Linked DNA regions of Caenorhabditis elegans. The protein of the gene in region 1 purifies or fractionates together with the protein of each later gene. This does not show direct contact. Each region holds a gene or a part of one and is shown on either strand. Other genes may lie near its edges.

What was found.
Region 2: the proteins of dph-5 (region 1) and rml-4 fractionate together in Caenorhabditis elegans (co-fractionation; one large-scale study listed by BioGRID). This does not show direct contact.

Annotation. Positions count from the first base shown.
Region 1 is NC_003280.10:11,348,149-11,351,905, reverse strand, and holds dph-5 (diphthine methyl ester synthase), read right to left. Parts: upstream 1,715-3,757; coding exon 1,641-1,714; intron 1,595-1,640; coding exon 1,348-1,594; intron 1,186-1,347; coding exon 682-1,185; 3' UTR 533-681; downstream 1-532. Other genes in the region: pigm-1 (GPI alpha-1,4-mannosyltransferase I, catalytic subunit), read right to left, coding at 1,960-2,169, 2,222-2,581, 2,633-3,193, 3,242-3,313, 3,364-3,414.
Region 2 is NC_003280.10:4,292,956-4,296,712, forward strand, and holds the start of rml-4 (dTDP-D-glucose 4,6-dehydratase), read left to right. Parts: upstream 1-2,145; 5' UTR 2,146-2,146; coding exon 2,147-2,386; exon of another isoform or gene 2,387-2,641; intron 2,642-2,780; coding exon 2,781-3,665; intron 3,666-3,757.

The DNA of each region.
Region 1 (3,757 bases):
AGGAAGAGGGAAGACATGTGTGTGTGAGCAGGGCCTGGAGCAGCAACCTTCGAAACTCCACCCTCTCCAGGCCGGAAAAAAGAGCTGTGCAGGACGTTGCGCGAATCATGATTGAGGTACTCACGGAGCACAGGGAGAAAAAACTTGTTTTGACTATTTATGTTACTAGTCTCTTTTTCGTCGTGTCAGGTTTTGGTGTTCTCAATTACAGCTCCGCCTTCTCGTGGCTCACTAGTTTTTTCCGCTTTGCTTTGCTAACTCAATAGAATATTGTCGTCGATCTTCTGGAAAATTCCTATTAAAAATACTATCTAAATAGGAATGCAATTTTAATAGCAGGAAAATTTAAAAAGTGAGAAATGTGCAACGACTTCTTCCGGTAATCCCCAGTTGACGGATGACCTCTAGTTGTACTGCCATTTTTTTTTTTGCTTTCTTCCTCCATTCCCAGGGTCAAAAGTTTGAAGGCGAAACTGGATACGGATAAATTGGAAGAGGATTAAAAAATCGCGGTGTGTGGGAAAAAGTTTGAAATGAAGATTAATTTTTTTGAGACTAACAAAATGAAAAAAAAAAAAAACGAAAAACTAAACAAAAAAAGTTTGAAAAAATGTGGAAAAAGTAATTAGCAACAGACAACAGAACAAGAATAAGAACAAAAAAAGGAACAATTTTGGGGAATTATGGCCTGAAAGTTTCCAACATGTCGACTTCCAAAGGATGGGTTTCACCAGGAATAATCAGTGAATGTAGAGGTTCGCCCATCTCCATCTCACTCATATCTTTCATACTCGCGTATACGATCTTCTGATTGTCCCATCCAACTCTTGCCAAGCCGACAACCATCGTGTTCTCATCATAGGCACACTCTTCTCCCTTGGCTTTTCGTCTCTCATAAATGGTCAGCAGTTGTCGAGCCGCTTCGGAGCACTTTTGATACCTGGCTGGCTCGAAGATCTTCCGCCCACGCATCATATTTTCGACAGTTTGCTCTTTGGTTTTGATATCCAGCAGGCATAAAGTGTGCATTCCACGTTTACGATTCAACGCGATTTTATCGTAATAGCTCTCCGGCTGCCACTCGTCAGTCCACATTACAATTGAAACTGTTTCTCCGAAATTGTAGAGTTGTAGTCCACAACAGCCAACTGCATTCATGATGGAAGCATTGTGAATCACTTTGACCTGAAACGAAGGAAGTTTTAATTTATTTTTAAAAAAAACCTCTTAATATTTTGAACACACAAAAAATTCAAGTTATATGAAAGTTTAAAGGAAGTTTCTAGTTTTTTAGTTTATGTTTTGCACGTTCCGTGACTGGAATCAAATTTAGCTTCCTCAAATCACCGGAATATTCTGTTGCTTAGCACGCAACACCAGATCCGCATGTGTAGTTGCTCCGAACGGGTCTCCAACGACAAGTAGAGCTACGTCTTCCTTATCGGCTCCATTTAAAATCGCATCAGACTCCTGCTCGACGACTGTCCGATCGGCTTCAATGATCTCTCTTCCGTAGAACTTTTCGAGATTTGTTTTGTCCAATCCATAGCATAAAATGCTTGTGTAGGCTTCTAGATGAACGCGAGCACAGTTTCTGAATAAAAATATTTAATTTTGCATTAATTATATTTTATAAATACTTGACAATATTTAATCCTTTGACAGTGATGTCTTCAACGTCTCCAAGTCCCAAACCAATCAAATAAAATACCATCTGAAGTTTTTTTTTTTAAATTGCAGTTCATAACTAATTATCAGCTGATATCAATACAATTAATAAATAAAAGAAAATCAGTTATCGGATGAGATAATAACCGATAATATAAGGTTCCAGAAATGATGGAGCAATAAAAAATGCAATAAAATTTATTAATTTTAAAAATAAATACAAGTAATTACCCATATGAAAAAGGCGACTAAAGCTTTAAGTGAACATAAATATCATTTTACAGAATGAGATCAATCGGTTTTTGGCTTGACTATTGGTACATAATGATTGATAATTTGTTTGAGAATAAATGAATTTGCAATCAAAAACAGGCAGGAGGCCAGGAACATCAAAAAGAATGTATTCCATCCTTGGAATTCGAATAAATACGCAGCGAGAAGCCAGATTCCTTGTGTTGCGAACCACGCGGCCATTAGAGATAACGCTAGTTGTCGGGACATCTGGAAAAAGGTGGAATTTAGGAAAAAACTAGTTTTAAAAATAATAATTTACCATAATTTTATGAGCGAGTAAAGGTAGAAGAACAATGTACCAGACAAAGTACTGACTTGTGCACACTTTGTTATATGTAACAAATGCGAAGGTGGTGATAAACCAGCAGAAGGGAAGATCATCGTAATGCTTGAAGGCGAAGAACACGATCAGCACAATTTGTGGAATGAATGCTCCGAGGCCGATGATCTGTGACATTGTCGGATTCGCTTCATACAGGTACAATAGGTAGAAGTACGGCGAGAAGTTATGGGCGAGATCTCTTCTTTTGACGTGGTAGATCAGATATTCATCGAGGAATAGTTGTCCGTAGATTTGGAAGAAGAATAGTACCACCGCTGCGAATGATGTGAGAGTTACCTAAATCTTTTTAACATTGAGAATTCCATGTTTTTAAGAAAAATAACTTACCAGCATATATGCGAAGCCTTTCCAGTTAGAAACCAAACTTTTAAACTTGTTCACAACACAACTTTGTTCTCCAATTGTTGAAAGACTCAGAAAAACTGATGGGAGATAAATCAATGGATAAATCTTCAATTGGATCGCAAGGGCGCCGTGAACTAGAGCTGCAGATTTCCAGTATCCTTTTTGAAGTAGCACAATATTCAGAAGCACGACTGCAGCAACAATAGATTCTGCATTTCCTCTGGCTGAGATGATAGCGGTCAGTGGATTCGCAAGCCAGTAAATCACGACATTCATTGTTTGATCATCTTTCATTTCTTCTCGTGTTTCGCTTTTTGTTTCGTTTAAATCTTTCTCCATTATTTTAAAATACAGAATCGCCACCAGGATGTCGAAAATGCAGAAGAGAATCTTTCCAAAGTCCGGGAAATGCACAACAGGCAAAAGAATCCATGCTAGCGCAGGCGTATATCGGTAAGTGGCTCTGTCGAATGGGCTTCCACCGTTTGAGACATGTTTGGCAGCGTCGGAGAACACGTGATAGTCGATGTCTGTGAAATTCACCTGAAACACTGAGTTTAAACTTATTTTGATGATGTAAAATTATCAAACCTTGAATAGATAATCGTGAATGTGTGCGTAGAAAACGAGAATTATCCTTGCCACGAATGCCACTAGTAAAATCTGGAAGAACATCATTAATTCGATGAATTCGTTGAAAATAGACAAATTACCTTATTTCGATTGAACGTTTCGTTCTTCACAAAACTCCGGACACATTGCATTTGTGGAGAAAACTGGAATATATTCGAATATATAAATGCTAAAAACCAACAAAGAATTTGTTAAAAATTGAAAAATGCAAGTGTGCTCTAGCGCAAATTTTCAACGGAGGGAACTTGAAAATTAGTTATTTTCGGGCAAACTTGTCGCAATTTTAATTGCTTCTTTCTTTCTTTAGATATCTCGCTTTTATTCATTTTTTACTAATCTTATATGTTTTGAAAGAATTATTTGTTAATCTTCATTATGTTTTCCCGGAAAAAATTAGCAAGAATCGAGTAAAACGGGTCTAAAAACGCGCTGCATATTACATGTAATCCTATTCTAGACAAACAAGTCATGCGT
Region 2 (3,757 bases), 7.1 Mb from region 1:
AGTCAAAAACACTTCAAATTTACGGCAAGAAATCAGTCAGAAACTTGAAATCTCGAGGGTTACGGTAGCCCCAAAAGTACGCAAAATGCGAATACCGTAACCTGTCACACCGAATTTCACGCAATTTTGAGCTAAAGCTCATTGTCTTCTACATTGTCTTCATATAAAAATATCATTAAAAAAAAAACCACAAGATTCTGTATTTGCAGATTTCCACAGCTACAGTAACCCGGAGAAAGAAAACTCAAAAAGTGAAGCTTTTCGACTTAAACTCTCAAGTTCACTTTATTTTTTTGAGAGAGCTTCCGCGAATGCGAATTAACCACCTCAACAGCTGCTCAACGGAAAGTTTAAAGCTTGATGTTCGTCATAATAATGAGCAACAGCTGTGCGGAGAGCACAAATCAGAGGGAAAAACCGAAAATTCGAAAAATTCCAAGACTCCATATCAAACGAGTTGATAGAAGAAGTCGGTGGGAAAATATTCGAACGAAAAGTAGGGGAAAATGATGGAAAAATAATATGTTTACTTTTCGCCTCTGCGCCATTTTCCATCAAAAAATGGCTTTGCTGAACCATTAAATGGCAGGAGAGAGAGCAGGGGGAGAAAAGAGAGCAGCAGCAAACAGAAACCCGAGAATTCAAGAGTCTCTAGGTTCCCAATTTCATTTTGTGAGAAGAGTTCAGCAGAAGAAATACATGATCAGCTGGTGGTGCTAATTAGAAGGACGGGGTACTCTCTCTCTGTGAGGTGTCACTTTTAGTTGGAAATTTCCAACAAAAAAACTGACAAGGGAAAGGACAAACTTCTATCAAAATTCAGTGACATTTGATTTATATGAAAATCGAGTTATTTTCTAGTTTAAAAAAATTGGGAGAACGCTCCAAATTCAACTTTCAGACAATTTTTGAGCGTTCTCCCTATTGTTTTAACTAGAAGAAACGGCAATTTTCAAATGAATCCTATGTTTTTTCTATAATCTATCACTGAATTCTAATGAAAAATATTGTAGAATTTCTGGCCGGCAATTGCCAAAAACCGAGTTTTATGGGTTGGGCACACTGTAATTGGCCTGTAATTTGGGTGAGAATTTCACAATTTTTTGTTGATGCACCGGAAGGAGAATGATTCACACTTTACTGATGGACTGTACATCTGATCATCACTTGGAGAGACCGAAATGTTCACTTTTTTTGTGTTTTTTGTTCGATTGCACCATGTGTTTTCCAATAAAAATTAGTGTAAAAATATGGAAAAATCAAGTAATTTTCTATATTTTGACACTAATTTTTAGTCTAACAACATGGTGCAATCGACCAATTTCATCAATTTTCCACGTTTCTCCCCCACCAGATACGCCGTTCAATCGATTTCCCATAGCCCTCTCAAATGACCTTAACCTAGTCTCCGTTTCTTCTATATCAATATTCGAAATCTCTGATTCCCGTGGAAAAATCTTTATCTATCTATCTTCTCCTAGATGTATACATGTTTCTGTATGGTCAAGTCCTCCACTTTTTGTTGGATTTTTGGGATTTGAACAGCTTTTTGCTTTGAATTTTTTGTCTTGTAGGCTAAAAAATCTTGAAAATTTATAAAATTGAAATACCATTTTTGATAGTTAATTGAAATAAGTCAAAAAAAAATATTTTTTCCGAAATTTTTACCCAAAAGCTTTGCCAAACGTTTTATTGTGCTATTTTTCAAAATTTTAGCCTTCAAAACGAAATTTTTTCAAACTAATACTAGTGAAAAAGGAGAATTTTGCAATTTTTGTTGTCGAAATCCCGCATTTTATTACTCATTTGCGAAATTTTGCGCTAAAACTACGGTACCTGGTTTCGACACGACAATTGTTAAATACAAACGGATATGCGCCTTTAAAGAGTAGTGTAGTTTTCAACTTTTGTTGTTGCGGATTTTTTCAAAATCGATTTTTCATTGTTTTTTTCTTTGAAAATATATATCAAAAATTATGAAAAATCGATTTAAAAATAATACCACAGCAACGAAAGTTTAGAAAATACAGTACTTTTTAAAGGCGCACACTCGTCTGTAGCTTACAAAAAAAATTGTCGTTTCGAGACCGGGTACCGTATTTCTTGCGCGACGAAATTACTCGATAATTCTCAACTGAATTCCAGGATGGTCTATACCCCGAAAAACGTGGTTATCACCGGCGGATGTGGCTTCATCGGTTCGAACTTTGTCAACTACATTCACGATGCTTGGCCGACGTGTAATTTTGTGAACATCGACAAGCTCATTCTGAACAGTGACACTCAGAATGTGGCAGAGTCGGTGAGAAATTCCCCACGGTACAAGTTGGTACTCACTGATATCAAGAATGAGGCGGCGATTCTCAACGTTTTTGAGCAGAATGAGGTATGGATTGGAGAGCTTCTTCTAAATGAGACCTGTGCTCATTTGAAAGAGCACATTTTGGATAGGTCACTATAAAAAATTTAGCAAGCACTTTGAACTAGAAAAATGTCTCCAGATGTGGATTTTTGCCAGCTTTTGATGATTTTCAGAGTTTAGAGGTGGACAAACATTCTGAAAGCTTTTTGGAATTTTTAAGAAATTTCCAAAAAGTATTCAGAACGTTTACCTACCTCTAAACAGCCAAAAAATCATCGAAAGCTGGCAAAAATCCACAGTTGGAGAAATTTTTTTTCTAGTTCAAGGTGCTCCCCAGCTCCTAAATTTTTTGTAGTTACCAATCTAAACGATCCTATTTCATATGACACAATGACCATCTTTAAATGCTAAAATTCAGATCGATACCGTAATCCATTTCGCCGCTGACTGTACTTCTACTCGGTGCTACAATGAGACCGCTGAAGCCGTTCAGAACAATGTTCTATCGTTCATCCAATTCTTGGAAACTGTTAGAACCTACGGAAAGATCAAACGATTCGTTCACATCAGTACAGACGAGGTTTACGGGGACTCTGATCTCTCGGAGAATGAACAAGGAAAAGTGGAATTCTCTCGACTTGTTCCAGGAAATCCGTATGCTGCCACTAAAATCGCCGGAGAGGCCTACGTCCGTGCCTACCAAACTCAGTACAACCTTCCAATTGTGACTGCCCGGATGAACAATATCTATGGGCCAAACCAGTGGGATGTCAAGGTGGTTCCAAGATTTATTGAGATTGCAAAGGTCCGTGGGGAATACACAATTCAAGGAAGCGGCAAGCAACTTCGCTCTTGGCTTTTTGTGGACGATGCTAGTGCAGGATTGAAGGCAGTTTGTGAGAAAGGAGAACTCCACGAGATTTACAATTTGGGGACTTATTACGAGAAAAATGTTGCTGATCTAGCGAAAACGATTCAAGAAGAAGTTGATCTACAACTCGGAAGAGCCCACGAGCCACCAAAATACAAATCGATTCCCGATCGTCCGTACAATGATCTTCGCTATTTGATAAGTATCGAGAAGGCGAAAAATGATCTCGGCTGGGAGCCAACGACCTCGTTTGATGATGGAATGCGTCACACTGTTGCGTCGGCACTTAAGGAACATAAACATGTGAAGATGCACGTGGCAATCTATGGAGGAAAGGGATATGTTGGTCAGGAGTTGCAGCACGTGCTCAATGATAGACACATTCCATACGTGTTGGCAACGAAAAAAGTCGGATTTGATAGTGATGAAGAGGTAGGAGGAGAGGATGGAAAAATGTGGTTTTGCTGAATTGAAAATTTCCGGCAAATCGGCAAAACTGAACATTTCCGGCAAAACGGCAAATT